Linked DNA regions of Rattus norvegicus. The main gene of each other region encodes a partner of the protein of the gene in region 4 in a complex. Links are inferred from orthologs where the notes say so. Each region holds a gene or a part of one and is shown on either strand. Other genes may lie near its edges.

The links.
Region 1: Pigc (region 4) and Piga share a complex: the UniProt entries of both Homo sapiens proteins name them as parts of the glycosylphosphatidylinositol-N-acetylglucosaminyltransferase (GPI-GnT) complex. The link is inferred for Rattus norvegicus from reciprocal best matches to the Homo sapiens genes PIGC and PIGA.
Region 2: Pigc (region 4) and Pigy share a complex: the UniProt entries of both Homo sapiens proteins name them as parts of the glycosylphosphatidylinositol-N-acetylglucosaminyltransferase (GPI-GnT) complex. The link is inferred for Rattus norvegicus from reciprocal best matches to the Homo sapiens genes PIGC and PIGY.
Region 3: Pigc (region 4) and Pigh share a complex: the UniProt entries of both Homo sapiens proteins name them as parts of the glycosylphosphatidylinositol-N-acetylglucosaminyltransferase (GPI-GnT) complex. The link is inferred for Rattus norvegicus from reciprocal best matches to the Homo sapiens genes PIGC and PIGH.
Region 5: Pigc (region 4) and Pigq share a complex: the UniProt entries of both Homo sapiens proteins name them as parts of the glycosylphosphatidylinositol-N-acetylglucosaminyltransferase (GPI-GnT) complex. The link is inferred for Rattus norvegicus from reciprocal best matches to the Homo sapiens genes PIGC and PIGQ.

Annotation. Positions count from the first base shown.
Region 1 is NC_086039.1:33,683,313-33,689,797, forward strand, and holds the start of Piga (phosphatidylinositol N-acetylglucosaminyltransferase subunit A), read right to left. Parts: upstream 4,306-6,485; 5' UTR 3,715-4,305; intron 3,700-3,714; exon of another isoform or gene 2,986-3,699; 5' UTR 2,697-2,985; intron 2,690-2,696; exon of another isoform or gene 2,343-2,689; intron 1,519-2,342; 5' UTR 1,457-1,518; coding exon 739-1,456; coding exon of another isoform or gene 521-738; exon of another isoform or gene 1-520. UniProt on the Homo sapiens protein: Catalytic subunit of the glycosylphosphatidylinositol-N-acetylglucosaminyltransferase (GPI-GnT) complex that catalyzes the transfer of N-acetylglucosamine from UDP-N-acetylglucosamine to phosphatidylinositol and participates in the first step of GPI biosynthesis.
Region 2 is NC_086026.1:28,964,327-28,969,881, forward strand, and holds Pigy (phosphatidylinositol N-acetylglucosaminyltransferase subunit Y), read left to right. Parts: upstream 1-2,098; 5' UTR 2,099-2,373; coding exon 2,374-2,589; 3' UTR 2,590-3,550; downstream 3,551-5,555. Other genes in the region: uncharacterized protein Pigyl1, read left to right, coding at 704-913, 1,149-1,787. UniProt on the Homo sapiens protein: Part of the glycosylphosphatidylinositol-N-acetylglucosaminyltransferase (GPI-GnT) complex that catalyzes the transfer of N-acetylglucosamine from UDP-N-acetylglucosamine to phosphatidylinositol and participates in the first step of GPI biosynthesis.
Region 3 is NC_086024.1:103,625,855-103,632,006, forward strand, and holds the start of Pigh (phosphatidylinositol N-acetylglucosaminyltransferase subunit H), read right to left. Parts: upstream 4,306-6,152; 5' UTR 4,275-4,305; coding exon 4,095-4,274; intron 1-4,094. UniProt on the Homo sapiens protein: Part of the glycosylphosphatidylinositol-N-acetylglucosaminyltransferase (GPI-GnT) complex that catalyzes the transfer of N-acetylglucosamine from UDP-N-acetylglucosamine to phosphatidylinositol and participates in the first step of GPI biosynthesis.
Region 4 is NC_086031.1:76,874,978-76,881,218, reverse strand, and holds Pigc (phosphatidylinositol N-acetylglucosaminyltransferase subunit C), read right to left. Parts: upstream 4,155-6,241; 5' UTR 4,094-4,154; exon of another isoform or gene 3,955-4,093; intron 3,179-3,954; exon of another isoform or gene 3,130-3,178; 5' UTR 2,969-3,129; coding exon 2,075-2,968; 3' UTR 1,799-2,074; downstream 1-1,798. Other genes in the region: C13h1orf105 (uncharacterized protein C1orf105 homolog), read left to right, coding at 5,406-5,491. UniProt on the Homo sapiens protein: Part of the glycosylphosphatidylinositol-N-acetylglucosaminyltransferase (GPI-GnT) complex that catalyzes the transfer of N-acetylglucosamine from UDP-N-acetylglucosamine to phosphatidylinositol and participates in the first step of GPI biosynthesis.
Region 5 is NC_086028.1:15,458,784-15,464,970, forward strand, and holds the start of Pigq (phosphatidylinositol N-acetylglucosaminyltransferase subunit Q), read right to left. Parts: upstream 4,306-6,187; 5' UTR 4,269-4,305; intron 3,732-4,268; exon of another isoform or gene 3,441-3,731; intron 1-3,440. UniProt on the Homo sapiens protein: Part of the glycosylphosphatidylinositol-N-acetylglucosaminyltransferase (GPI-GnT) complex that catalyzes the transfer of N-acetylglucosamine from UDP-N-acetylglucosamine to phosphatidylinositol and participates in the first step of GPI biosynthesis.

The DNA.
Region 1 (6,485 bases), on a different chromosome or scaffold from region 4:
AGGGATAAAGGCGGACTGGGGTGGAAAGTAACCTAGGCAGAGATCTTTTTAAGAGCTGTCTCTGAACCTTCACAAAGTTCCTGCTGTGACAAATAAAAAACCGACACAGATCTATTGAGTAACCTGTCCTAGATGGGCGATGAACCAGGTTTTGACTCTAGGCCACTCTACTCCTTTCTATCACTTGACTGCTGATATTAGTGCCTTGCATATCGTAGATAAAACCAGCAAGCCACGGGATATCCATGGGGCCAAAAGGCCCACTGATTCTGAACACCAGGTACAGGTGCACAAAAGACAAAAGTCAGCCATGAAAATAGTCATTAGGGCCATCTCTGAATGAAATCGTCACAGATGTGCTTTGCAAATGCCTGCAATAAGAAGCCATTACTTCTGTGATCAAACAAGAAAAGGCCACACAGCACATTCTTACCTGCACAGAGATCTCTGAATTTTTACAAAGATCTGATTGGAGGACATCTGGTCAATGGCTTTCTTTTGTTCGGTAACCATTACAACCTCAAAGGTTGGGGCAGCATTTATAGCCGCTTTTATCCATTTCTCTTCTTAGATGTATAAACTGATTATCTGACCTTCCCTTGCAAGAATTACCAGTCATTATAAAGCCACCATACAGAATAAAAAGACAAGTAATCATCACATACAAGTATTGAACAGTTTCTGACAAGAAATTTAAAAAAAAAGCTGTCAATGCAAATAAAGCTACTATGTTATTACCTTTTCTGTAAACAAGTCTGCTGACAACAACAACAGTTATTACACTATCATGCCTCCTAAATGGTTCTGGAGTGAAGTCAGTAGGATCTACAGCGTTAGGAATGACGGACACTATTTCAGGATTCAGTGCTGCTCTGAGTACAGTGTTCTCCTTACTAGTGTAAGAGACACAAATGATGTGGTTTGTGTCACAAAGAGACACAGTAAGAAGCTTGTTTGTAAGCACCGAGCTGACATCAGCAAATCCAAAAAGGGAATGGTCTGTGAAGACTGTCTGAAGCCCCATTGTCTTGGCGTGGAAGAGAGCATCATGGGCCATGGCAGAGAAAGAACTGTGGGAATGGATTATCGTAATTCTCTCCCGAACAAATATGTACCTGAGCAATGGCAGACTGTGAAAGAGAGTCGTGGCTGTAGATTGGTTGTACATGACTCTCAGAGGCAAATAGTAAACTTTGAGGCCATTGGTGAGGTAACGGACGCCCTTTCGATTTCCATAAGCATGGGTGACAGTTATGACTTTGTGCCCCCTCTCAATGAGGCACTGAGAGAGCTGGTAAATGTGGCTTTCCACACCTCCCATGTTTGGGTAGAAAAAGTCAGACACCATGCATATATTATGAGTGCAGGTCCTATCAGTGGAAAGACTTCCGGAGCTACCGGGGGAAGGAGACACTGAAGGAGGCTGGCCTTGCCCACCTCCTCTTCTATTGGCCATGCTGAGGTGGTTCACGCATCAGTTCTCAGAGCAAGCCTGTTAAGAAATGTGTCTTCTGTCACCTGAAAGAGAAAAGCAGGACATCAGCTCAAAACCTAATCTCATTTCATATCTCATATCCTGTTAGAAATAGTTGTAATGCTAAGGCATATTTTTCCCTTAGAAATAAAAGCAAAGCACACTATAAACTTATTCACTTAACATTTACTTGCTTAGCATGGTGATGTCACAGAACAAAAAGTGATATTCTGCAATGCTTTCATTGAGCTGGGAAATAAACGTTATGTCATAGTACATAATGGTTTGCTACAAAACCCAATTCTTTCCAATAATTAAACATATACCCATATATTTCCCTGGTTCTCTTATCACTTTTATCGGCTTATTAAGCTTTATCACCTTTTAAATCACTATATATCCAACGCTACGCAAAGTTTTCTCACATATAGACCTAAATAAGGTATTAATTATATAGTATAAATGCTAAGTCTAAAGCTTAAAGAAGTTAGAGAGAACATACTGTGCCAGGTTATTGTGATCATCTCTTCTCACATACTTTTTAAGCCAAGTTTTAGCTTATAGCTCACACCGACCTTGAACTCAGCATTCCCAGCCTCTGCCTCCTAAGAGCTGGGATTATAGGTGTGCACCACGGCACCTAGGAATCTTCCTTGCATTTGGACCATGTAAGCCACAGAACATGGTAAAAGGGACATGCAAATCTTTGACCTCGGCCTATGAAAGGTTCGATGGCTTTTATTTATGGAGTTAACACATAAGTCATGCAGCTACTGGGCTAAGAAGGGCATAGGGGAGACAATGAGAGAAAAAGGGCTTACAAGCTACATGGAGAGAGATAGGGACCCAGCTACCTCTACATTCTTACCTGTGCCCAATTTCTAGCCAGAACACTGGCTAAATGCAGCCTTCTGCAGCAACCCCTGAAAAGACGCATAAAAGTACTACTAGCTAAGTCTAGCAGATTCCAGAGTCATGAAAAGTAGCAAAAAGGCTGTTGTCTTTTAGCACTGCCTTTTGTTCTGGCTCTTGAGGCAGAAAAGGATACTAAAACAGGCTAGGATGTGAAATCTAATTATACTGGCACATTGTCTATTTTTATGAACAAATTTTTACAGGAACCTGGCTTGCCCATTCACTTATGTGGATGGCTACTTCTATGCTAAAATGGTAGAGTGGCTTTGAAAGAGATCATATGACCCACAGAGTCTAAAATATTTACCATCTGGTTCTTCGCTGAAACTGGGCTGACGATAGCTACACAGCTTAGCTAGTGATCCAGTGCACCGCACACGATTCTGCTTTGTGGTTTCCATTAAAATGTACCGGAACCAGAACTTACTTTTTAAGAACACTCTCTTCAAGTGTTACCCGGAGCTCATGCTGCAGACAATCCCGTTTCTCCTTCCTTATTCAAGGGTAGTTATACTCAAACTGCTCCCTTCTCTTTTTGGGATCCTTCTTTTACTTATGTAGGTCTTTCCTCTACAAGTGCCCTTTCAGTGTGGACTCTGAAAGGAAATGGAGTGGGACACGGGCTATGTATGTATGTGGGCTCTTTCCTACATCTAAAGGTAGGAAATGTTTCCTTTAGGAGTTCCCTAAACCTATGCTGGTATGAAGTGTTCATTCAATATTCCATTCTATTTATGCTTAAACTTTTAATGCCATAGCTTTGGAGATCTGGCAAAAAATCTATCTTAGTTGAGATCTATAAGGCTACAAAGAACTCAATCAAGAGTTACTATCCTAAACTCTGAGTTTCAGGTCTCACTGGCAACTGTATGTGTTGACTTTGTCCAACAAATTCATCTACATTTAAAATAGTCTCATTAATACCGAGTGAGTGAGGAGGCAAGAAGGAAGCATGTGCTGAGGGATCAAATGATTGAGGGTTCCAGGGCAGCTAAGACATGGAGAGCACCCTGACACATAAACTGGAAAAAAGTAGAGAGATGATCAAATTTACAACCAATACGTAAACAAAGAATGAAAGCAAGAAAATATCAAGTTTGCAAAAGAAAGCAAAGCCTCAGTGGCTAATGCTGTTCTACTGTGATGTGTCATCTAAACCTGGACCTTAGTCCTATTTAGTTTTAAGAAGTGAATGACAAGGAGAGCAGAAATAATGAACCAAATGAAAACCCATCACCGACCTCCAATGTTCTGAGTCAGCCTGCCACCAGGTTATTATATCTAAAATCTTTATTGGGTCAAAGCTCAACATATTGCATACTCACTGAATCTTGGCTTCTATAAGTGAAGAGAGGCTGTAAAATCTGGTGAATTCTCTCTCCGAGCGATACATGTTAAGCAAACTGTAAAACGTCCCTACTCAAGCAACGTAAATGACAAAGTCAAGAAGTCCTCAAAATTCTCAGTCATGGCCAGTAAACTCCCTTATTAGTAGAAGCTCCTGAGGATCCTTAGAGGGAGCTCGGACGGGGCTGAGAAATCAAGAGAATCATACTTTAATCCAGTCCCAAGGCACGACTCCCTGAGAGGCATCTCGGGTGCACTAGAGCCAAAGAGGGTCAGCCCGGGTCTATGAGCCTCCACCCCAGGATGAGGCAAAATCTGGCCATATGCAAAGGGAGTCGGAAAAACGTCCTAAGATTCCAATCCCTCGCTCTACTAAACTCAGCCTAGGAACCAGCTCCAACCCTCAAGGCACCCATAGCCCCATTTGACTACGGAGACCCTCGCACCTGACTTCTGGGCCTCCCGTAGGGTAGGCTTCACCTCCTCCACAGCCAGCCACGCTCCTCTAAGAACGGCCCAACCCCGTCCAGAAGGGACCGAGAACGTTGGAAAGGACAGACGAGACACGTACTTACCCGTGAGTCCCATGGCCGCCACTGTCCGGACCTCCCGCGGCTGTAAGCAGAATCCCGCCCCACTGCTCCAAAGCACCAATCAGAAGCGTCCGCGACCCGAGCGCCGCGCCCCCGTAGTAGCCAATCGCACAGAGGTTCTGAATTCACGTGGAAGAGAGACGCCCAGTCATCCCCTACTGTCTAACGAGGGAGTGTAGCGTCAGCGAGCGCAGGAGCATGTCTCCTAAGAGCTGCGGAAGGTCCCGGGCGTAAGTACCCTGGTTGCCTAGTTACGGCGTCTCTTTTCAGGAAGCCCACTCTCTCCCCGCCTCCTTCCGGTTAGAGAAACGGGGAGGGCGGGGTTAGGGGGCGGGGAAATAAGGGTCAGGGCGTTTTCCAGTCTGTTCGTACCACAGTCGAACCAACCACGTTGATTCTTGTTATTCTGACAGATTGCTAAATGCAATGAATACAAGTACGCAAATAAAGAAAAATCACATCAGATCAAATCTAAACTATCAACGTTGAGTCTTAGATCTACAATCTGTACATGTCTGAAAGATTGAGGACTTTCCAAAGTTCAGATTTTGGATTTTGTTTTACAACTCTACAGTCCAGGCACGTGCGTGTGTTTGGGGGTGGGCTGGGGGTGGGGAGATCTTAGGTATAACCTGAAACGTTCCCTCTCAACCTGTTGCAATCGTCAGCCAAAACTGTCTTGAGGTCTGGAGCCAGATTGTGCTTAGCCAAGAAGACAGAATCTATGTGATCGTTCTTATAGTTACCTGCTCTTTACAGTTGGTACTTGTGCAGTTCCCCCAGCGTGGCCATTCCTGCCCTTTCTAGAATAAATTCTTTTCTAAACAACAGCACTATCACCATGACTGGCATTGATTTGGAGCTTGTGCTAAAGTTAACGATATTTTCTAAAATTTAAAAGAAAGTTGTTGCAGAGTTAAGAGATAAATCTGGGGGTGAGGGGTGATTTGGATTGTAGAATTCTGCCTGAATGACCTCGAAGCATGCCTTTAGAGCAAAGACTCTCAACTTGTGTATCACGACCCCTTTGAGGTATCCTGTATATAAGGTGTTTTACATTATGATTCCTAACTGTAGCAAAATTACAGTTATGAAGTAGCAATGAAAATAATTTTATGGTAGGGGAACCATCACAAGGAACTGTATTAAAGAGCCACAACATTAGGAAGGTTAAAAACTACTGCTTTAGAGAACGTTCTTGGAAGCCACAAGAATTTCACTAAAACATTGATGTGCAGTGTCTTCTGATGATAAAGTATGAAGGTATCCAATGCCAGTGGTACTATCAAATGGCCTAAAAAGAAAAGATGTCGAGTAAATGTAGACATCATCTTCCCTTGAAATTTAGTTCTTTGCAAATTCATATGGAAATAAGCTTCCTTGGATAATTTTAGAATGGGAGGCATCACACATGTCGTGAAAGATTGCTAACTATATGCAAAGTACACAAAGAAAAAATTTGGCAAGAGTACTATTTCCAAACCAAGATGAAATTGAAACATATGAAACTGTCTATGAGAAAAGGAATTGCTAAGTGCTATAAGAGAAATATGTGAGAAAAGACTGAGAGTTTCAGTGAAAAGAGTATTTCTATCTACCAGCATCTATGAAACAAGAAGTAGGGCGTATCCATACAAGTTGAAAGCAAGATCCTTTCAAGAAAAAAAAGTGAATAAAGATACAGAGGCAGATGCCGACTGTTCAGTAGATTTTTTGTATAATTATACAGGAAAGAGATAGGGAAGAGATGTAGCCAGAATACTGGCATTATTAGTAAGAACTAGAGCAAACTGGTCAATTGCTTAAGAAAAATTGCTGAAGAAAATGTACTTGATGCTAACCATATTTCCAGCAAACATGACATTTTTCAATCATTATTTTGTGACACACTTCCTTGTTCTGCTTCAAATCAAAAAATCAGATATAAATGAAAAGGTATGTTTTTTTTCTGTGTGTATGTACTTTTTCAGACCCAAAGAGATACAAATTCAAAATTGCAAACTGTTAATAAAGACTAAAAGCTACATAGGCCCTGGACATTGTAAGTGAAAGTAAAACATGGAGCAAGGATTAGCTCTTGTAGAATAATAAATACTGGCAGGATCCATGTGTGGCTAGGGACAAGAACTAACCTTGTGAGAAATTTTTACATTGGT
Region 2 (5,555 bases), on a different chromosome or scaffold from region 4:
ATCTTTTAGTTTGCTGGAAGATTAAGGGATGGCGGTCCCTGTGTGGTACTGCATAGAATCCTAGCTCAGTCTCATTTTTCTTTACTCTGGGATCAGAGACAACACTGTCTTACTAGGCAAAGCGGTGGCTGTGCACAGCATTTACTACCCGTCCCCCAACACACACACACACACACACACACACCGTCTTACTATGTAGTTGCGATGACCTGGGTGTATGTAGACCAGGGTGACCTCAAACTCACAGAAATCTTCCAGCTTTTGCCTACTGAGTGCTGGGATTAGGAGTTTAGGCTCCCATGCCTGGCTACATTCTCTCTCTCTCTCTCTCTCTCTCTCTCTCTCTCTCTCTCTCTCTCTCTCTCTCTCTCTCTCTCTCTCTCTCTCTCTCCCTCTCTCCCTCTCTCTCTCTCTCTCTCTCTCTCTCTCTCTCTCTCTCTCTCTCTCTCTCTCTCTCTCTCTCTCTCTCTCTCTCTCTCTCTCTCTCTCTCTCTCTCTCTCTCTCTCTCTCTCTCTCTCTCTCTCTTTTGGTTCTTTTGTTTCGGAGCTGGGGACCGAACCCAGGGCCTTGCGCTTCCTAGGCAAGCGCTCTACCACGGAGCTAAATCCCCAACCCCAACATTCTCTCTTAAAATTGCATTTTACACTTTTTGCAGGAGTACACGCGGGTGTGCTGCAGTACATGCGTGGAGGTCAGAGGACAATGCGAGAAGAAAATAGGTTCTCCACCGTGGGGGTGGGGGTCCCCGAGGATCGAACTCAGTTACTAAGGCTTGGCAGGAAACGCCCGTACTCGCTGAGCCCTCTCATCGGCCCAAACTACTATTTTGACATTCACCAATTCAAACGTAAAACGACGGATCGGACTCGTTCCCCGCTGCTTCAGAGGCTGGGTGATGGTGGCTGCGACCAAGTTTGATTCAGGCTTCAAGTTTATCAGTTAGAAATGGGGAAAGCTTTTCAGCGCAGAAAGACACCGGTCTGCTCTGGAACGCCGTGAACACACTCTGCGGCAAATACGTTCCTCTCCAAGGTCCAGCAGTCCTGGCACACAGGACGCCCAGCCGGAGGCCGTGGGGTCCGGGGCAGGGAGGTCCTTATCAATCAGGGTCCTCTCAGCACCCCTCTGGCTTCACCCGTCACTCAAGACTACGGGGGCGGAGCCTGAGCGCCGGAGCGAAGGCGTGGTGCGCTGTCCAATGAGCACGCGCGGATCGGCTCCCTCGCGGGATCTGGGTTTCTTACCCCGCCCCCTCAGGGATTTGATTGGGCGGCTGGCCCGGGTGCTCCGCCTTCGTAGAGCGGTGACGGTCACAGCCAGGCGCAGCCGGGACCCGGACATTTACAGGCCAGTGAATGGTGAGTTCAGGGTCTCGAGATCCGATACGGGCGGAGGAGCTGTTGGAACCGGCTGGGACAGGACTCGCGCTAGCAAGGCGTCTGCGCCACGGACGCCTCCGGTTCCGCTTGGCTGGCTGGTTCACTTTCGATTCGGCCGGGTTCTCCTCTGCCCTGTTCGGCTTGGTCCGGTTCTCTCCGGCTTGGCTCGGTTCTCTCCGGCTTGGCTCGGTTCTCTCCGACCCGGCCATCGCTACCCTCGGTCAGCCAGAGACTGCAGCGGGACCCGGGTGCCCCTTCGCGTCCCCGAGGCGACTGGGCCCAGGGCTGGCGCTGTCTTCACTCTGTGCATTGACGACGGGCGGCTCGTGACGAGGCTCCGGGTTCCGGTGCTGGTCCCCAGCCGGTCCTCGTCGTACGGGAAGCCTCCACTCAGGTGTCTGAAGTGAATCTGGATTTGTAGGTCTCATTCCGCTTCCTCGGTTCGAGAAAACACTATCAGTCCACCTGTCCTTCATTCTGCTTTTCGAATTTCTTAGTTCCCAAAGAAATGGATGACACTTGAGTGTTTTGAAGGTTTGTTTTCTAGTCGGGCGTGGTGGCTTGGGAAGACTGATGCAAGAGGATCCCAATGTTTGAGGCCAGACTGCAAGTGACAGCAATCCTCCTGCCTTTAACCTGCTCAGTACTGTACAGGCTGTTTCCCCTTCTTTTCCTTTCCCTTCCCCTCATCTTGTCATCTTGCACTTTTCTCATACAGTAAGGAATCCTTTAGCCAGCGCTGCGAGGGACACGTGTGTTGTCTGCAGTCGCTGGTAACCGCTTCGTGTGGTGGTGGATTGGATCAGAACGAGGCTGAGGAGCCGTCACCCTCAGCCTGGGACCGCTGAAGTTTTTGTGTGCTCTTGGGAAGCATGCCTGGATGAAAGAGGAGTCCAGAGAAAGGGAAGATAAGACAGGAGTGCACCAGCACAAGAACATAACTTTGAAAACAACCGAGTTTTCTTGAACTGTATACCTTCAGAAGGGAGGAGGATGATCCTGTCTCTGCCCACCCTGACTGTCCTCATCCCGCTCATCTCCCTGGCGGGCCTGTTCTACTCCGCCTCTGTGGAAGAAAACTTCCCAGAGGGCTGTACCAGCGCCAGCAGCCTGTGCTTCTACAGTTTGCTTCTGCCGGTCACCGTACCGGTGTACGTGTTCTTCCACCTGTGGACTTGGATGGGCCTGAAGCTCTTCAGACATAACTAGGGTAGCTGAGGCCCCGCTTGTGCACGGGGCAAGAGGCTCCTGGTTGTTGGGTTCTGCCCTCAGGTGTTGCAGATTCTCCTGTTAGTGCTGTAGCTGAAAAACACTTACAATAAATATGTCCCAAGGGAGAGGAACATGACCGGTCTTCATCCGAAGACTGTTTTTTCTAAGATTTATTCTTAATTATGTGGATATGAGTGTGGGTCCCCAAAGAGGCCACACGAGGGTTGGAGGTACGAGCAACTGTAAGACTGCCGGAGCTTTACTCAGATCCTCTGCAAGGGCAAGCAAGTTCATGTCCTTAACCCCTGAGCATCTCTCCACCTGCCTGTTTCCTCCCTTCCCTTAGTTCTGGCTAACCTCAAACTGTGAGAGGCAGACCTTGACCTCCTTACCTTCCTGTCTCTACCTCCTGAGTGCTGAAGTTATAGGCAAGCATTGCCGCATGTGTTTATGTGGTCTGGCAGAACCCAGGTCGTGAACGCTAAGTCGGCACTCTGCCAGCCAACCACCCTGAGGACTGTGTTGTTGTTGTTGTTGTTTTGAGTCCATTCATTTAAAAGTCCGTCATTTGGAAGCCGAGCAGTGGTGGCACTCACCTTTACTCCCAGCACTCGGGAGACAGAGGTGGATCTCTTGAGTTTGGGCCAGCACAACGAGACTGTAAAAATAATAATTTGGGATTTTGTTTCAGCTTCAAGGTCAGTGGTGAGGTGTTGGATCTGCTGAGACAAGGGTTTCAGATGGTTGGGAACTACTGTGTGGGTGCTGAAGAAAATCCAGTGCTCAGGGATGACTCCTTTGAGGAGCTGAGTGGTCCGTAGGTTGGTGGCTCACAACTGCCTGTATTTCCAGTTCCAGAGGCTCTGACTCCCTCTGCTGGACTCTGGGTACCTGCACACCTGTGACATGTCTATTCATTCACACACATTAATAAATTTATTTTTAAGAGGGAAAAAAATCTGACTATAAACTTACCTTCATTGTTTTTTCTTTTACATTTATTTTTTTTCTTTTCTTTTTTTTCAGAGCTGGGGACCGAACCCAGGGCCTTGCACTTGCTAGGCAAGCGCTCTACCACTGAGCTAAATCCCCAACCCCTCTTTTACATTTATTTATATGAGTACACTCTAGCTGTCTTCAGACACACCAGAAGAGGGCATTGGGTCCCATTACAGATGGTTGTGAGCCACCATGTGGTTGCTGGGAATTGAACTCAGGACCTCTGGAAGAGCAGCCAGTGCTCTTAACCACTGAGCCATCTCTCCAGCCCCTACCATCATTTTTTCAGTGTCAGGTGAGCAAGGTCAGTGTTGGTGTTTTCTGGTTCTTGGATTCTTATTCAAGGAATAAAGGCCCATATACAGATTTTCAAAGTTGCAAGGAAATTTCACTCAAAGCAGAGCTAGATCAGGCATGCAGATACATGAGCCTATGGGGGCTCTTCTTACTCAACCACGACACCTGTTCTCCCAGCCTAAATTCCTCTGACTCCTTATGACTCCCTGTACCTCTAAGTTCAGAGGCTCTGCCTCCAAAAGCACTGTACTCAGGTTTTTAACACACACCCCTAAAAATAAACACAAAGTTTTCAAAAAAGAGAACATGTTTTCTTTGGCTGAAAGCCGTCCATCCTTGCTTGAAGGTAAGCCAGAGATGGGTGTGACCATTGCCAGTTCTTGATGCCTGCATTGGACAGAGTCTGGAAATCCTTGAGTACATTGGGCCCTGTGGCCCAGAGGCTGTGACATTCTTCCTCTGGGGAAGTCCCAGACACCCTGGAAACAGGGTTAAAGAAGTCAGGGGGCTGGAGTGATGGCTCAGAGATTAAGAGTGTCCTACTTTTTTTTTTTTTTTTGGTTCTTTTTTTCGGAGCTGGGGACTGAACCTAGGGCCTTGCGCTTCCTAGGTAAGCGCTCTACCACTGAGCTAAATCCCCAGCCCCAAGAGTGTCCTACTTTTAGGAAGTGATTTTTTTTAGATCATGAGTGGTTTACTTGCTTGTATAAATGAGCCCTCTGCTTGAGATGCACACAGAGGTTAGAAGCCGGTATTGGATCCTCTGGAACTTGAGTTAAGGAGTTATGTGAGCCACCGTGTGGGTGCTGGGAACTGAACCTGGGCCCTTGTCAAGAACAGCAAGAGCTCTTCCAAGTCATCGCTCTAGCTCCTGGGTTATTTTCTGTTGCTGTGGTAAAACAACCACAAGCAACTTAGGGGAGGAAAGGTTTGTCTGACTTCCACTTTTAAGTTGTAGTTCATCAATGAGGGGGAAGTCAGGGCAGGAGCTCAAAGTGGGGACCTGGAGGCAGGAATTGAAGCAGAGACCATCGGATGGCTTGCTCCCCAGCTCACATTCAGCTACTGTTCAGACTGCCTGGGTAGGGGTGGCACCACCCACAGTGGGCTGGGCCCTCCTGTATCAGAAATAAAGAAATCGTGTCATAGACATATCCACAGGCCAATCGATTAAGCAATTAAGCAGTTCCTTGAGGTTCCCTCTTTCTGGGTGACAGTGTGGTTTCCAGTGCCTGTGTATGGTGGCTCACTATTGCCTGTAACTCAATGCCCTCTCTGATATCCTTGGACAACTGCACTTGTACACATACCCAGGTACTGTTACAGACAAACATAAAAAAATCTATTATTGTTGGCTTAGGGGAACCAGAAGTTCCGGCTGGGAAAAGGGCCATGGAGATGACCGTCACCACCTCTGTGCTTACCCTAGAGCAGCATGCCCTAGTTCCTTCCCATGTGAGGGCTGGGACCCGGCAGACAGCACCACCCCTTCCCAGATTGTGTGGAGGCTCAAGGTCATGGACAGAAGGATCTGTGGTGTGCCAGTATCTGGTCTGCCCTTGTTCCCCCATAGCTCTTTGCTTTTGAGTCTTCCAACAGTACAGGAAGCAGTCTTACATCCTCAGCCCAGACCCCAGAGGCCCAGCTCTTCCCTTTCCTCTCTGGAC
Region 3 (6,152 bases), on a different chromosome or scaffold from region 4:
TGTGAGAGAGGCACGTCGTGAAAGGGGATCCAGACTACTACTGAATAGGTCCGGGAAGCTCCCAGCGAAGCATCTGCCATCACATCCATCAGAAAATTTTCTTCCCCAAATTACAACTTAAAGGCCAGATGCTCCCTCCCTCTCATACTCCCCCTGCAAAACATGGAGCACAGAATTACAGACAGAGCAACAATGGAGTGCTTAGCACAGCAGCAGATACTATTTCTTGACTGATTAAATAGCCACTTGTTTTTTTCTAATAGAACTTGGAATGAATTGTGATTGGATCAGGAGTGGTCACATGCTGCGAGGAGACATGCAGGCTGGAGGACTACAGAAGAGGCCGATATATCAATTATGTTCTTAAAGGTTAATAGGAGGAACACTGGAGAAAGGAAAGGGGGGGGGGGGTTAAGATTAAAGCATACAGGAATAGCATATACAGCGGGACTTAACTGGTGCAGAGGTCATTTATTAGTGGTTAGTGCTTTCTGATGGGTGTGGTCTGCCACAAAGACAGCTAAGCTCTCACTGTGTGAGAGGAGCCAGGGCCAAAGAAGACTTTCACTTGAACTCTGCAATCTTTGAACCTCAATTCTTTCTGCATTAATAAAGCCCCTTATCATTTTGATCTCCTTTCGTTCTGGGCTACAGCTGTGACTAAAATGAATGTTAAGGGGTAAAAAGTGTTAGGTAGACTGAAGATGTACCTTAGTGGTAGAGCATTTGTCTAGCATGAACAAAGTCTTGTTTGATCGTGCACGTGCTCACACACACACACACACACACACACACACACACACAGCTACATATGCCCTTGTGTCTAAGGCACGTTTATAACCTTTTAACACTTCTGAACTGAACCGTGGGATGTTTTGTTTTGTTTCTTTTATCTGGTCTCTTGCACCTTTTTACTCCTCTGACTCTCCACAAGAAAAGGGAATCACAGACCTAGTGTCTCAGGTTCCTATTCCTGTGACAGAACACCATGACCAAAAGCAACATGAGGAGGAGAGGGTTTATTTCAGCTTACAGTGTACTCACACACATAAATAAATAAATCTTTAAAAACAAACACCAAAGCAAAAACAACAAAAAACAAACCATGAATCTTAACAAGTGAGGTCAACCACACACCTTTGCTCACCCATTCTGAACAGAGAATGGTCTTTAACATTTTTCACAAGGTTAACCAAAGAACAAAAAGAAGCAGGTGCAGTGGCTCACATTAATCCAAGCACCCAGGAGGCAGAGGCAGGTGGATCTGGACTATACACTGAGCTCCAGGCCAGACAAGGCTACACAGGCCACACAGTGAGGCCCTGTCTCAAAACAAACAAACAAACAAACAAACAAACAACAGGCCAGAGAGATGGCTCAGCGGTTAAGAGCACTGGCCGTTCTTCCTGAGGTCCTGAGTTCAAATCCCAGCATCCACGTGGAGGTTCACAACTGTCCATACCTCCAGTTCCAGGTGACCTGATACCCTCTTCTCACTTCCTTGGGCACCAGGCATGTATGTGCTGCACAGACAAATATACAGACAAGACACCCATATACATAACATAACACAAGGACAAAAGAATATGGGACAGAGATCCACAAAGCCTAAGATATTAATTTGGCCTTTTGAAGAAAAAGCTTGCTGACTTCTGTTCAGATAATTATTTCTGGCTGGTAAATAGGAGTCAGAACTGGGCCTCTGATGACCCAGAAACATCTCCTTTTGGCTAATTAACTTCAGGTGTGGGGCAGTGTCTTGTAAGCAATCCAAACTGAATAAGCACTATGGAAGAAAGCCAAGGTTTATCAGATGCAAGATTGATAGGGAAAAAAAGGCTAGAATACTGTGTTACTGACTGTTAAGAGTCAAATGGAGGAGAAAGGGAAGAGGGAAGGAGGGAAAAAGGATGGAGGGGAGAAGAAAAGAGGGGGACAGAAAGACAGATCAGAGCACACGGCTGGTCCATGAAGACTTCCAAGGAAGCAGGCCCCAACTGGTGCAGAGAAGATGGTACACGCTGATGGGCACACTCTGCTCAAAGGGCTAATATACTGCAGAATGGAATAATGTTAACAAAACTGATCAAAGCAGAGGGGGTCAGGGGGTCAGTGAATGCTTAGGGGATTTTACCCATCAGCCTCTGTCAAGATAATCTGCCTCAAAGTCTGTTTTCCTGGTCAACATTCTAAGGTGGCACACTACTCAGCCGAGTCAGGTTAAGCCACAGTTGAAGGACTCCTTTGAGAGTTCTTCCCACTATTCATCACTTCCATGAAGATTTGGAGTAGGAGAACGATCTGAACCTTTGCACACAGAGCCCTGGGGGAGTCTTGGAGTAACGTAAGGGAACACAATTACTTCTGCATTTGGGGGACATTTGGGTGTCCATGCAGGAGAGTACAATAGGGAACTGACAGAACAGCTATGAGCAGGGTGTGGTGCACACACCTGTAATACCAGCCCTTCCCTGGGAGGGGCTGAGACAGGAGGATGCAGTGTAAGGACTAAACTACATAGCAAGACCCTGTATCTCCAAACCAAACAACAAGTAACAAATGCGACTGCCTGAGATCTGGAGACCAAAGTATGGCGGAAAGGGATTTCAAAGTCAGGCAGCTCTAGTTTGGAAGCCCAGGTTTGTCACTTTATCAAAGTCAAGACTGTATTACTCTTTCTGAACATTTCCCCCATCTAGGGGTGAAATAAGAAATTCAGGGAAACAGCTGGCCTTCTGGGTATTTAATAAATATCAGTTCCTGCTTACAGATAACCGCACAGGTATCTGGAACACAGGCTGGAATTAACATTCAACTGGGCATGGTGATGAATCCCTTTAATAACAGCACTCGGGAGGCAGTAACCGCTGAATCCCTGTGAGTTCTAGGCCAGCCTGGTTTACACAGTGAGTTCAAGAACAGTCAAGGCTACATGGTGAAACCTTAACTCATACCTCCTCCCCCAAAAGAATAAAAATCCAAGTATCTTACAAATTTGGGGGAAGGGCTAGGTCAGTTTAATAACTTCAACTGACCTGTGAGGAAACTTTTAAATATGAATTGGTAAAAATTAGGAGTCTTTTTAAAATACTGTTTATTTGTGTTTGGTTGGTTGGTTTTTTGAGACAGGGTTTTACTGGGTAGCTCTGGTTTGTTCTGGAGCTGATAATGTAGACTGGTGTAGACCAAGCTAGCCCTGAATTCACAGAGATGCTCTTTCCTCTGCTTCCCTAATGCTGGGATTAAAGGTGGCCCCACCACACCAGCCCATACCATTGACTGTGTAGAGGTCAGAGGACAACTTTGTGAATCTGTTCCTTCCTTCCATCATGTGGGTTCTGGGGATTCACCTTAGGTGGTCCAGTTTGGCAGTAGGTGCCTTTACCTGCTGAACCATTCCTCAGACCCTAAATTAGGGGACTTAATTTCATCTATGTCTATGCACATTATTAATTATACTCTGCCATGCACTTGGATGGCATAAAAGTGATTGGACCAGGTGTGATGACACACCCCTTTGGGAGGCAAAGGCAGGCTCTACATGGAGGCTTCCAGGCCAGTCAGACTACATTTACTGAGACCCTACCGAAATTATTGATGATGATGATGATGATAATAGAATGCGGTTCAGAAAAAGATTAAAAAGTCTGGAAACTGAGCATAGAAAACACTCGTGTCTTAAATCTGGCAACTCTTTAGAAAATGCACTTAAATTGAGGAAGGGTTGGGAGAGGGGAGGTAGTTGATGTGGGCTTGAGAAACAGATATTAGGAGGAGATATTATAGTGTACAGTTGTGGAGGCATAAACCTTTCTGGAATTCTGTCGAATGCCCGCTATCCGTTGGCAGTGTTAGCCTGTAAGGAGTGATGGGAGGAGGATGCTCTGAGTTCTCTAAGGAGGTATGTTCCATGAATGAGCATGGCAAGTGGTCCACTGTGGTAGAAGGTTTAGATGCACAAACTTCTTGGGGAGGGAAGGCAGTCCGGCCGCGGAACGGCGTCCCAGATCCAGGGAGTCCCCTCCCTCCCGGATCCACAGGTGAGTCCCAAGACCTTTCCAAGCAGCCTGCACCGGCCGAGCGCCGGCCTTTACCTCGCACAGGGTGAAGAGCCCGTAGGCCGCCAGCCACACCGTACAGGTGACAGCGGTGAGCGACCACAGCGACAGCCGAGCCGAGCTGAGGCCGAATTCGCGGCAGTACGGTGAATAGTAGCGGCGCCGCAGGGCCAGGCGGCCGCCGCAGATATCGGAGAAGCTCTTCTCGTCCTCCATGGCCGCACACGCCGGCCCGTCGTGCCGCTCTAGCCTACACAGAGGCTGGAAGTCTCGCAGGCTCCCGACTGTTCCGGAAGTGGCTCAACCCGGCCCTCCAAACGCTCCGCGCAGCCGTAGTCGCTCACTGAGAGCCGGCCTGGGGCTTGGAACTAGTTCTGCCAGTTCGTCCTTAGCCAAAACTCCCCAGAATCGCAGCACCAGTTTTGGACAGATTAATATTTCTGTTCACTCGACTGACTCATTTATGTTGTTATGCCAGAATGACCAACAAAAAATTGTCTGCAGGTATATTCATTCATTCATTCATTCATTCATTCACGCATTCATTTCCCTGCGAAGGGATTTTAGGTACTGAAGATTTCTGGCCCCATCTAGCTTCTTTTCTAGTAGGAAAAACGATATAGACGTAACCTAATAGTATTATTGACAAAAACGTTCAGAGCTTCAGTGAGAAGGACTGGGCAACTAAGTAAAGGTCTTCATCACTAACCTACAAGGGCCACATTGTTCGGTGGGGAGTTGGGGGAGAAAATCTCCAAAAAGAAGAACCAGGAAAAAGCAAAGCTTGGAGGCTGGAACCAGTTTCAGTCACAGGAATCAAAAAACTATCGAGGCTAGAATGCATACCGGGAAAGAAGGTAGGCAGAAGATTCAGTTTTGAGTTGGACAGATGGCTTAACTATTCAAGAGTATGTTGACCCTAAAGATGGCAGGAGAAAAAAACACCACTGTACTGACTGGTTTTATGTGTCAGCTTGACACAAGCTGAAGTAATCACAGAGAAAGGAGCCTCCCTTGAGGAAATGTCTCCATGAGACCCAGCCGTAAGGCATTTTCTCCACTAGTGATCAAGGGGGAGGACCCAGCCCATTGTGGGTGGTGCCATCCCTGGGCTGGTGGTCTTGGGTTCTATAAAAGAGCAAGCTGAGCAAGCCAGGGGAAGCAAGCCAGTAAGAAACATCCCTCCATGGCCTCTGCATCAGCTCCTGCTTCCTGAACTGCTTGAGATCCAGTCCTGACTTCCTTTGGTGATGAGCAGCAATGTGGAAGTTAAGCTGAATAAACCCTTTCCTCCCCAACTTGCTTCTTGGTGGTGATGTTTGTGCAGGAATAGAAACCCTGACTAAGACAACCACTCAAATCATCGTGGCCAAATTAAAGCAAGCTTTTAAAATTCACTACACAGGCTGCCTCCTCCTGAGATGGGTTTCAACTTTGGATGTAAAGACAGGCTTTTATAGCTCAGGGGTAGGAAGGTTTCCAAATGGGGGATTTGTCTGGTAAAATAGGGTTACAGGAGCAGAACAAGTATAGCAAGTAAGTCCCTTCTGGAAAAAAGACACACAAGGTAGTTTTGTAACCTTTTGAAACAAAGGTTGCAAGATGGTTATAAACAACTTTTTCGAAACAAAGACATGATTACATTCCTGGAACAGGCAGTACAGAACCATTTGTAGTTAAGGTTACAGGTGGGGCATAGTTCAATCCTTGAGAAACAGGTTTCACCCTAAACAAGAATGAACCTAGTTTGTCTTTAAAATGACTTTCAAGCCTAACATGGAGGCAGGCAGGTTCTTCAAGTACTTACTCAGTGAGGAGAGAGAATTGGGGGAACCACTACGAGACCCTCTTTGCCACACTTTCTAAAGTTTTGGTTAAAAGAACCAGACCATGTATTTGCATAGATGGAGTGCTACTGTGGCAGTTCATAGAAGCAATCTTATTTCTGATGATGGGTGATTATTTATTTCTACTGTTGAATTTATTCTTAGAACTTGAATCACTATAAATATGAATAACGGAGAAGCAAATGTAATCAAATAATTCCGCTGGCGACTCCGCAGGCCCAGACTGGGTTCTTAAAATCTTTTTTAT
Region 4 (6,241 bases):
TTCATAGTATGCTACCCCTTGATACTTAGAATTGGAAATTACAACAAGCAGGGAACAGTATCACTTTCGCAGATGTAACCAGCTACTAGGGGGAAATAACTCATCCATTTGTACCTTTGACCTCTTCAAATTTAACCCACATCCCAATTACTATGACAAATCCAATGTTCCTTATCCAATACCCTTAGGACCAAAACCATTTTTTTATTTGAAATTTTTACGTAAAGGGTTAGCTCTAGAATAGGATCCATCCAAATACAAGGTTTACTTATTTCACATACACTTTATACACAGCATTAAGACAATTTTATATTTCTTAAATAAGTTTGCACATGAAGATTTCATGGCGTAGAACGTGGAACTTTCACCAGGCATAGCATTGGTGCTCAAAATTTTTCGGAGCAGACTCTGTAGCATTTCGGATTTTGAAGTTTTGCGTTTAAGACGCTCAGCACCAACATTGTACACAGCTCATCTGCTGCAACGATTCTTCAATACTAGAGGTGAGGGCTGGAGAGATGGCTCAGTGGTTAAGAGCACTGACTGCTCTTCCAGAGGTCCTGAGTTCAAATCCCAGCAACCACATGGTGGCTCACAACCATCTGTAATGGGATCTGATGCCCTCTTCGGGTGTGTCTGAAGACAGCTACAGTGTACTTATATATAATAAATAAATCTTTAACAAAAAATACTAGGGGTTGGGGATTTAGCTCAGTGGTAGAGCACTTGCCTAGCAAGCACAAGGCCCTGGGTTCAGTCCCCAGCTCCAAAAAAAAGAAAAAAGAAGAAAAAAATACTAGAGGGGAAAGCTGAGAACTGCACAATGAGGGAATTCAAGACGTCACAACCTGTCCCATCTTTAGACAAGCCGGATTGCCCCTTACCAGCAACAGAGCCCGATTACTGGATCAATAGAGAGCCGACAATGACTCAAGCTCCCACTCTTTGTGTTCCTCCCCCAGATCTCTGTGACTAAATCCCCGTCACTTTCTGTCTTTGCGCTTGGACTGTATCACATGTAGTCACGTCTTGCCTGCAAATGTGGCTGGCAAGCTGGATTAAAGTTGAGGCCATTTACAAAGTTTATTCATATTAAGAAGAATCAGAGTCACAGCTACTGTGATACTTTCTCTGAAATGCCACAGGTATGGATCTCAAACTGAGTAGAAACAATCATTTTCAGAGTGACATTTTGGACAGCTGACCTCACTGAGCACACTCGCTTGCTCCATAGTTTCCCACACTTGCTCGTATTGCCTCTCTGGTTCTCAAAGGCTATCCTCCAAGAGTAAATCAAATGTCACCTCTGGTTTCCTAATTGCTTGAGATGAACTCTCCCTCCAGCCTCTTTCAATATCTCTCAACGTTTTGTTTCTATGACATATAACTCTCCTTGAGTACCACTTCTGTAGTATCGGACAACAAACTGGATGCCACCATCTGAGATCCTCAAATTCAGGCTCTAGATATATAAAGGTGTTCCTTAGTACACAGATAAAAGGCTAAACAACTGATTGCACACATGTGCGTGTCACACGCACACGCACTCACACACACACACAAACACACACACACACACACACACACACACACACACACACGCCTTCATATTACCTTTGTCTTATGCTCTCATAAAAATCATGAGACAGGGCCAGTGTGGTGGCTCAACTGGTAAAGGCTTGTTGTCAAAGCCTGAGTTTGATGGGTGGGCATATATACTGAACATAGACCACCCTCTCTCTCATGCACACATACATAAGGGTTGTGGTTTTTTTTTTTTAAATAAGAGACGATGCAATAGATGTTACTCTTTTAATAAGCAGAACCCACATCACATCATTGTTAGAGGGAATAAAGGACAATAATTCATAACAGCACCAGAAAGCTTTTTAAGTCACAAGGTAAACTGAAGGGCAAACACCTTCCCCTAAACCCTTGGTTAAACTCTTCTGATCTCAGCTCTACCACCCAGATCAGCCTGCTGCTTTGAGAGTGGAACCCTGCCTTTAAATGTTACACTGGTTAGGTTCTAAGTCTTTTAACTTTTCTTAATAATGAAATGCAGGTCCCTAGGTTAGCTAAGGAACCTGGACAAGTCTTCCTTGATTTCTGCCTCATCCCAAGGCCCATGAATATTTTCCTTAAAAAGCTGCAGGTGAATGAGATAGTAAGGGCAGAGACAGGAAATGGAAAACAGCAGAAGAGCAAAGAGTATGGCTCCCACACCACTAATGGACAAAAGACCTCCAAAAGCTGAAAAGGCAAAAAGCAGGGTGACCCCGACATAGCTTCTTGGGGTATACGCCTTCAGTTTCTTCTGTAACATGGGCCACAGTGCAAAGATCTGGATGGCAAATGTCACCATGATGAAGGCATGTAGTGACCGGGGGAGGCGTGAGGCCAGGCAAACAGAAGCAAAGATGGCCATATTCAAGGACAGTGTGCTAGATACAATAGCAGCATTGGCACCGTAATCAAAGAAGATGAGATGGCCTAACAGCATAAAAACGGACATGGCGTAGATGGTGTCCGTACTGACGGACTCTGTCAGGGTCTTTAGCACTGGTGAGAAACCGTACGTGAAAGTAATGAAGACCAGAGTACTCTTCAGGTCGGCCCACCGGGTCCGCCCACTCTTCTTCCGTCCATCACCTCCATCAATAAGATCAAATAACACATACCCAACCAAGGACGATGCCAGTCCAGTCCCAAAAAGCCACTGGGGAGCCAGAAGACCCTCGTCCATGTACCACCAAATGACTACAAAGACACAGACACTGCACAGCTGTTGTATCACCACACTGGACTCAAATACCACAGCCCAGTATTGGTATTTCCGGGCATAGATGTTTTTCCGGAGCTCCTCCAGGAACCTTTGGTCAACATAGTTATCAGGGAATGGCTGCCGCTCATATAAAACCTTCTGCCACTTGACTTCGGAGGTGTCCGCTACATGTTGAGCACACATTATCTCATCCTTTCCTGAAATCCAGGCGGGCTCAATCTCCCTCAAAGATGCCCACAGGATTCTAGTTCTTGATAAAGTTGTAGATTAAGACCTCTCAGAAATGCCACGCTGATAGCATACAGAACTTTCCTTGTTTACAAAGTCTTCGGGCCAGGCTAAGCCTGCAATAGATGAGTTTGTTCCGTGAATCAGGACAACGCAACTAAATTCCTAGAAAAAGAGAGAACTGTAAATATATCAAAGCTGGGGATGTCATGGTAGGCATCAGTTACAATCAAAACGACTCTGCTTATTGAAAGCCTAAATAAATTCTGTCTAGTGACATAACGAGGCACCAAACCGTCACATTTTAAATTAGAATCTTAATCATTGATATCTGCATAGCATCACTGACTCAGAATGTTAAATGTCTTATTACCTTCTTTAATTGTCACAGCCTTACAAGTTAATACCAGTCCCACTTGACCTAATAAGACATCTGGGTTTAAAAACAGTAGAGTATTTAGGTCTCAGGGTAACAGAGTGGACCCAGACCTCCAACAAAAGTCTGGTGTCAAAAAGTCTGTGCTTCTGGTCATCCTTCGCTAAGCCAGTCTTAACTTGGGCATTCATATACCCTAAGGTGTATGAACATATTTTTGCATGATTATATTTGCAACTTATGCAAATTTATAGAAACAGAATCCATAGCTGTTACCAAGGTTCCCAAAGGCATCTGAATAAGTTATTAGTCTCATGACAACAGTAATCTGCACAAAACAGAAGGGTATGATCTCTACAGTTTTAGCCCAAACCAAGAACTCAATTCTTCTTTGTTCATTAGCTGAGCTCACCATCCTTTAAAGTGATATATCATCCTAATTAACTGAAACAGCAAAACTCTAGTGCAAGATCAAGAAAACAACCATCCCATTTTAGAATGGGAAAGTCAGAGTCAGAAACAAAAAAGTCATTCAGCAAATTTGAGAAAGAACTTCCTGCCGGACCTTCTTTATTTCATAAGAGGCCAGGATAGACCTTTACTTTAAAAGCCGGACACCCTGGGATCGGCCTTCATGCACTGGGACCTCTGGATCAGAAAGACCCGCGGTACGGAGCAGGGAAGGGTCTTAGACAACCACTCACCAAGCCGGCCTGCCCTGCCCGCCGCCGCCCCTCTCCCAGCCTTGGCTCAGCCGGAAAGGCCCGAAGCGAAGGACGCCGGAACCCACCTGCCCCAGCTCTTTAGGGGGTGTACGACCGAGAAGAGCAGCAGCCCTGCTACTTCTACATCCGGGACGCGGGGTTGGAGGGGACTACTGTGGAGGAGCACTTCCGGATTCGCACCACTGGGCGGCCAAAGCGTCCCTCCTGAGACACCGCACCGCGAGGTCGCTGCTGCCCTCTACTGGTTGCTCCTCCTGGAAATCTGCTTATAGTGGAATGCTCTTAGCCTAGGAGGCAAATCCCTCAGTGGGAAGCTGGAAAAGGGAGGAGTCGTGGGGCTGGTAGAAGAGTGCTAATAGTAAGGTGGTTGAGCATGTGTTGTCAGGCTCTCAGCCAAGGGACTCTCTAACGCATTCAAGCCCTCCTCCTATAAGTGCCAAACCAGGCTTCTGGTATGCACCAGAAGGAGAGAGAAAAAAATTCCCAGATCTCACATAGCGTTCTGTGCATTGATTTCCACAAAGACGATGTGGTCATTAGTTTGTATTTGTCCAAAGTCAGGCGGCTAGTTGATGATTGCAAGTAGATCAAAAATATCCAAATGCGGATGGCACCAAAGCTGGATTCTTTCCTAGACTTGGCCACCTAAAAGGGATGAGGGTGGAGGACCTGTGGGACAAGAGATTGCTGATTTTCAACTGGGGTCACAGAAGTATCCCAGGATTTATAAATAGATGGAAGCTCAAAGAACGAAAAGCATAGAGAATATTAAATAGAGTGGACACAAAGGCAGAAAGCACAAGCCCATTTATTAATATTCACACTATTTGGGTTTTGAATTTTGCATCTGTAAAAGAGAGAAGGCACTTACTTGTTCTTGGCCACTGTGTGGAATGGCTGAAGGACTCACGTGTAAAAATGTTTTATCGATTGCTGTGTCTGTCATTGCTATTAGCTTAGTTTGGTCATTGTAATACCAGCACTAGTCAAGTGTTATAACTCTTTTAATACTTTGCTTTTAATTATATCTACACATGTGTAGGTATGTGCTCCTAATTACAGGAGCCTATGGAGGCCAGAAGAGGGTGCTGGATTCCCTGATGCTATAGTCATAGGCAGCCATGAGCTGATATGTGGGTGCTGTGAACTAAACGTGGGCTTTTCTCGAAGAGGAAGGAGTGCTTTTAACCACTAAGGCATCTCTCTGGCCCTCTGACTCCCTTTAAGATTTATTTTTCATAAGTGTGTGTGATGAACTCTGTAAAATGATCTCTCTCCATTTCTCTTTTAGACTTTTGTTCCAAAATTTGACAAGATTCCTTGGCTTAGTGAGGCCAGCGTGGTAAACAAGCCGTTAATACTCAGCATCCCTAGAAGGTAATTTCCCAGCTTCCGAGGAGGAAATGTGTGAGAAGGAGCTCAGTGGCTGTGCTCTTAAAGGGGAGAGGCGCATGTGACCTGTTGAGAAACCAAGTTGAGTGCCCAAAAAAGAAGAAATTCCCTGGATTTCTCAGACTAAAGTTCTGCTGTGTAAGGCCTCGCTAGAATGAGAGCCTGCATGACCTTCGTCTCTGCGTGCATTATCACTCAAAACACATCCGCAGCTCACCTCCCCTGCTTTAGTTTCTAGTCTTCAAATTTTAGCTGTCAAAAGTCTAGACCTATAACATGCCATCTTCAGAGTGGCAGTTGCTGTATTTCACGTGGGGCCTCCTCAGGTTTCATGGGTCCCTCCCTCCTCACAAAGCCAACAGAGAAAATATTTCTGTTTTTGAAAACTGAGTGTTTATATGTAGGGGCATTTCAGCTTCCCCTTAAGATAATTGTGTTCTTCATTCAACACCCCCCTTAGTAATTCAATTGTCCCTGGGTGTGGTGATAAGACTTCTCTAGGGGAAAAGATAGGTTGTGAGATGATAGGGGGAAGTAAGGAATCAGGCAAGCCAGGAAGGTACAGAGACCATTCCACAGGCTTGTCATAGACTGGCAATGGTTGCTAGAAAAAGCACACTCTTGAAGAGTTTCTTTTCCTGTTGGTAATGGTCCTGCATCCTTAGGTCTGTGAGCAAATGACTACATAGGGATCTCCATACCTCAATAACACACGTTTGTCCTGTCTGCACTTTA
Region 5 (6,187 bases), on a different chromosome or scaffold from region 4:
CTGCTCAGAGGTTAAGAGCACTTGTTGCTCTTGCAGAGGACCTGAGTTTGATTCCCAGCACCGGTACGGTGGTTCATAACCATTCATAACTGCAATTCTAGCAGATCTGACACATGTGTGGTTACACATACATACACGCAGGCAAAACCTCATACATGAGGTAAATCTGAAAAGGTATTAAGCCTGTTTTGGAGGGTCAGGGATAGTTTTCAATGGAAGAGGGCTTGCCTAGCATGGCCAACATTCTGAATTTGATCTCAAACACCACCAAATAACCAAAAATAAAAATAAAAGTGACAATAAAAAAAAGAAAAAGAAAAGTGAACCAAACAAACTTGGTTTGGGGCTCAGATACAGCACCGGTCCTAAGGCTGAGTCTCAGGCCCCTGCTTGAAGGAGCCTCTCCTGCAACAGGGAGCATGTCCTCCTGCCGCTGAAAACTCACCAATCCCTGAGCTTGTCCCTAGCTCAGGATTTGAAATCCCACCAATCCCCACCCTGGAAAACTTGGTCCACCACCCCACCCTCCCAAGAAATCCTATACAAGATTGCCTCTCACGGTTCTTGGCTACTTCTGGCCCAAAACGAGGTAGCTGCCTTCTGTCTTTCCCAATAAATCTCTTGAATGAGGCTTGTTGTGTGGTGTGACTTTGTGCTATTCCTTGGCACCAGACTTCCAGGACACCTTTCCCCTCAGAGATGTGACACAGAGACTCAGTCTCGAAAGGCAAGTAAAGAAGGGACTGGAAATGTAGCTCTGTAGTAGAGCTCCCTCTGCTCTGCCCTCTACTCACCTCTGAAATCCTTGACAGACACCCCAAGACAGGGCTCCCGGCAGAGCAGTATTTCTCTCCATGAGAGAATGTCAATGCATTTTCTGAGGGGACACTAGCCCTTGAACTCCTCAAAGGCCCTTGGTGTGACCTTTGAGCATCAAGAACCACCACAGCAGCTACAAACCCTTTATTCTGTGAACCCTACACCTTTCCCTCCACAGAAAGGAGCTATTTGGAGATTGTGGGTTTCCTTCGCTTGTGCCTGCTGGACTGAACTGCTGGAATGTTTGGCAAGGTCCAGGTGCCTACATAGGCATTTCTTTAGTCAATACCACATCTTGCCCATGTGAAGTGAAAGACACCCAGAGCAAAGACCCCCATTTTTGGATCCTTTCCTGAGGGAGGCCCAGATCTTGGGCTGAAGCCTGGTTTCCAGGTCTAGTGTTCACATAAAATAATTGGAGAGAAGAGGACAGACGGATGGTAACACAAGTGGTGGTGGTAGCTGTCCTAAAGACAAATGCCCAGAGCTTGAGGAACCCAGATACTTCTGCTCCCTCCCTGCAAGCATACCAGCCCAAAGAAACCGTCACGTGAACAACTTGGCAAAGCTTTTTGTTTTTGTGACACTGAGGATTAGACCTAGGGTTTCATAGGAACTAAAGGGCCAGCCCAAAGCTGAGAGGACTAACAGGACCTAGCACTGTCAGATTTCCTAATGTTGATGCTGATGAAAAGAACAGTCAGAGGCTGAAAAAGCCATTCCCAGGTGGGTCAAGTAAAGGAGCCTCAGGAAGCCTCTCCATAGAACTCCAAGTCAGAAGCCTCCAGTAAAACAAAACCCCAAAGTGCCTGGAGGAGCCAGGCAACTGGTGGGTGTCCACAGAGAAAACCTGATGCCCAATACCAGGCCAGGCCAAATCTCCATTGCCAGTGTCAAGAATCAATTTCTCTTGTCCCTTCAGTAGGAACTGTCTCCAGAAGGCCACAACACGGGGTAGTGATGCACTGTTAAAAATACTAGAGCCAGGGTTGGGGATTTAGCTCAGTGGTAGAGCACTTGCCTAGCAAGCGCAAGGCCCTGGGTTCGGTCCCCAGCTCTGGAAAAAAAAAAAAAAAAGAAAACAAAAATACTAGAGCCATTCTACCTGTAAGAGCCCCAGTGCGCCACTGTCATAGGGGACCCTTCAGCCCAGCCCAAGCTCCTGTTCAACTACCTTGTAAGGATACACCAGCTCAGCGAAATATCTGGCTCTTCTGGGGAACACTTCACATGAACTAAGGAAAAATGTTCACAACAGGGTGGGAAGAGACATGCCCTTGGTCTAATTATAAACTGATGTTGTGAAGGCTGTTTTTGAGTCTGTTCAAGGTGTAAATCCACTGTGCTGTATGCACACTGTGTTTATGCACATCCTTTCTACAGAGCATGCTTCATTTATAGTTTACCTTAACCCAAACACACACACACACACAGAGAGAGAGAGAGAGAGAGAGAGAGAGAGAGCGCTCAGGTCTAAGGAAAGAAGGTGGAAGGCAGAGAGAGGTTGGTGCTCTGATCTGTGGGGCACTGAGAGAACTCAACAAGTTTGGAGGCAAATCCCCACCCTTACTCCCAACTCAGCCTCTCCGGAAGCACTGAAGTGTAAAAAGCAGTGTGCTTCCACTGGGCTGCTGGGATTTCAGCAGCAGGAAAAAATGAAAGAGCAGGCGATCGATACAAGAGGTGAGAGGCTGGAAAGAGAAGGCAGAGACCTGGGCTGTGCGAACACCTTTAAAGATGCTGGTTAAAAGAACAGCCCAAGCTTGGAAAAGCTGCCTTTGCTAAGTCCCTCCTGGACAGCCCATTCCCAGGAGGTCTAAATAAGAGGCCCCAGGAAGTCTCTCCACAGAACTCCAAGTCAGACTTGAGCAAAAGCAGAGGTACTGCTTACTCCCCTGCAAGGAGCAGGATTGAGGGATGTACAGCCCAGTTAGGAGAGGCCTGGGACACATCATAGCTGAAACATTACTTTGTGAATCTTTGAGAGGGTTCGGTTTTACCACACGTTCAAGATAAACGCCCCCCCCCCAAAAAAAACCCCACTTTTCTTACTAGGGATGTAGTTAGCTGGTAGGGAGCTTGCCTAGCCTGCACAAGACCCTGTGTTCAGTCCACAGAACCTCATAGACCGATAGTAGTAGTTTATCTGTAATCCGAAGGTGGCCGCAGGACGATCAAAAAAATTCAAGGTCATCCTTTGCTACACTAGGATTTTGAGGCCAACCTAGCCTATAAGAGAATCTGTCCAGAAACACATTTTTGCCTCTGTAAATGCTTTCCTTTTTCATTTCAAAGGGTGGGGGTAATCTGTTTCCGATTTTTACTGGAGTCGATAAATATGAGCCTCTCAGCCGGTGCCCCAGGAATCTTTCAACAATTTCCCCGCCTGGAGAGGAGGAGGGGCCTTTCGCCGCCCTCAATTTCGGGATAGCAAGCCCAGACCCACAAAGGGTGCCGCTGAGCCTGGAGGTCAGCTGCGCGGTAGCCGCTGCTCCCTCCACCCCGGCCTCCAGCTTCCTATCTCACAGTCTTAGGCACCAGGCACTGAGGACCAAGAGGCCTGCGCTGCCTCGGGATTTCCTCCTCTTCCTCTCCGGGCCCCGGCCCCCGCTAGTGCTCACCGGCTGATCCCCCGGGCCGCGTACCCAGGCGGTAGGGAAGGGACTTGGTTGAGCACCGCGTTCGGCGGGCCCGGGAGGACGACTGTGTTCGCGGCTCCCAGGCCCGCCGCGGGACATCAGCACCATTTCCGCCGGCTCCGCGCGTTGTCGCGCGACGGTCCGGTCCCCAAACGTGCCCGGGCTGTCCACTGCCTGAGCCCGAGAGTTCCGCGCGCACGGCTCCTGTCATCAAAGCTACCCTCGCTGTAAATGTCCTGAAAGATCGGGTGGATCCAGCCTTTGAGGATCCAGGTAGCCGCTTTGTTCTTACCGCCACACCCTGCCTGGCCTCCTAAACCCCCGCCCTGCCCACTATCTCTCTACATTGCGGGTAGAGTGCGACCTCCGTGGGTCGCATAGTCTGAGAGCAATTCCCCTAACAACGCAGTAATTTGAGCATCTACTTACAAACAAAATTTCTTTTATTGTCTGTTAATCCCCCACAACATAATGATCAGGACATATTGAGCTAACCTGGAGGAGTGACTTGTGTGGTGACCTCAACTTCCAGACAACAGGCTGGGTGCCACCCCACACCCTGAAGGGGACAAAAGCAAGCACCTTTTTCTTGCTCTTTCCCACCTGAAGATCATGGGTGAGACACAGATTCTCACTGAGTAAGCTCCTCACACATACACATGTGCACACACGCCCTTCCCCACTTCCAGATCTCATCTGTAACATGGGAGGAAAGGCTCTTGTCTTGAATGGAAGGGTATGAAAGAACCTGTGCTACCCAGAACCATCCCAGGACCCCACCCAAAAGCTCAGGACACATATAAGGCTTACCCCTTTGATTTGCCTACTCCTTACTTCTCTTTTGGTCCCAGAGCGCTGTTGGAGGCTCAAGAATGGGATATTTCTGAGGGTGGGGGCGGGGGGACACTAAGGAACCACACCCTTCCCCTAAACTGCCCAGCCCAGCCTAGCCACACCCTGCCTGCCTGCCTGCCTGCCTCTGATTAGGATGTAGGGGTTGGGGCACTCGGCAGGAGATCTTGCCTAGGTATCTGCTGGCAGACAGCCTCAGTCCCCAGGATCTATAGCTTCAAGTGTGGCCTCAGAGCTCAGGCCTCCTGAGACCCAAGCTAGCAGAACGAGGGACTGGATGGCCCATGGGGTTTCAGGCCATGAAAAACTATGAGCATACTGAACAGGGAAGTGAAGGTGACCCCATTTAGAACCTGATCAAGAGATGGTGATTCATGGTTTCGGTGTAGACAGGAGCACTTGCCAAGAGGAAATCACAAGGCTAGCTAAGAGCAGGTGTCAGGAAGAAGGCTCAGCAGCCCTCAAGGAGCCTACTAATCTTCCACGATAGTACAAGGGACTCAGGCCCGGCCAGTCATAGCAACGGACTATTTTCCCCAGAGCCCACCCTCAGGCCATCTCCCCCCAGATACTGGTATACCTTGATGCAGTTGTCCCCTGCATCTGCCACCACTAGTGGGCCCTGGGGTGCACAGGCCAAACCCAAGGGCCTCTTTAGTCCCTCCAACGGCAAGCAGATGGGTGGCCCAACCCGGGGAAACAGAGTCACTTGTTGCCTCTGCTCATCAGCCACAATAATGCTACCCTCTGCATCACAGCACACACCTGCTGGATGACCAAAGCTGTGCCCAGTCAGGGTTCCTAGGGAGCCCAGAGGCTGGTGGGCACTGCCAAACAATTGTACATCCCCAAACTCTTCACTCACAGCAAAGCCTCCATCAGGCCCTGGACCTACCCAACAAGGGCTCTCCAGACCTAGCATGGAGGTTGGAGCAAGAGGCTCACAGGTTGGTCCTAACATGAAGCTGTGCACAGTTCCAGGCAAGTAGTCTGTCACCAGGAAGTGGCCAAGAGCATCCACAGCCAGCCCTCGGGGGGACAAGAACTTGCCTACAGTCACCCAGCGGCCCTGGGGTTCCCGGGAAGTGTACCGAAGAGCATACACAGCCCTGTGGATGAGGTCACTGACCACCACAAGCCCTGCAGCTGTCACAGCCACATCCTCTGGAACAAAGGCTCCAGTTCTAGGAATGCAGCAGGGTAGTTGACAAATGGAGCGTCCCTCAAGATCCAGCACATGGACACAAGATGCAGCACCAGCCGTCAAGAAGAGCAGGCCATCTGGGGAACAGTGCAGGCCTCGGGGGCTCCCTGCAGCCCCTGCTGGCACCAGGATTCGTCCCAGCAGCCGAGGCTGCCAAGAGCCACTGGCATCTCTAAGTTGGTCCAGCCTGAGATGAGGCCCTTGCGGGTAGGTGGCTGGGGATAGGGGTGGCCCAGGAGGTCAAGGAGTCAGGACAGACGGGAGGCCAGGGCAGCAAGCAGTCACAGTCTCGGCTTCTCTGCAGCTGCAAAAGAGTTGGAACATCCATGTGTGCAGATGGTGGCCCATGGGTGCTGGCACCCTCCCATTGTAGATGAAGAGCTAAGGTGAGGTAGGAGGTGGAGGGGAAGGCTGAGCTGCATGTGTGTTCAATTCCTCCCGGTTCTGAGTGCTCACCTGGTCCCCAAGCACAGCAACCACACAGGTGTCTAGGTGTCTGCTGCAGTAGTCTGAGAGATACTATGCACCCAAAAGGGTCAAAGGTTTAGCTCTAAGGCTCAAATCGCATGCACGGCTGTGTCCTGGCTTGAGAAGGAGGAGGGGAGGAGGCAGATAAGCAGCCCTGGGATGACTCCTTCATAGGAGTTGCCTAAGTTCGCATTAGTCCCTCACC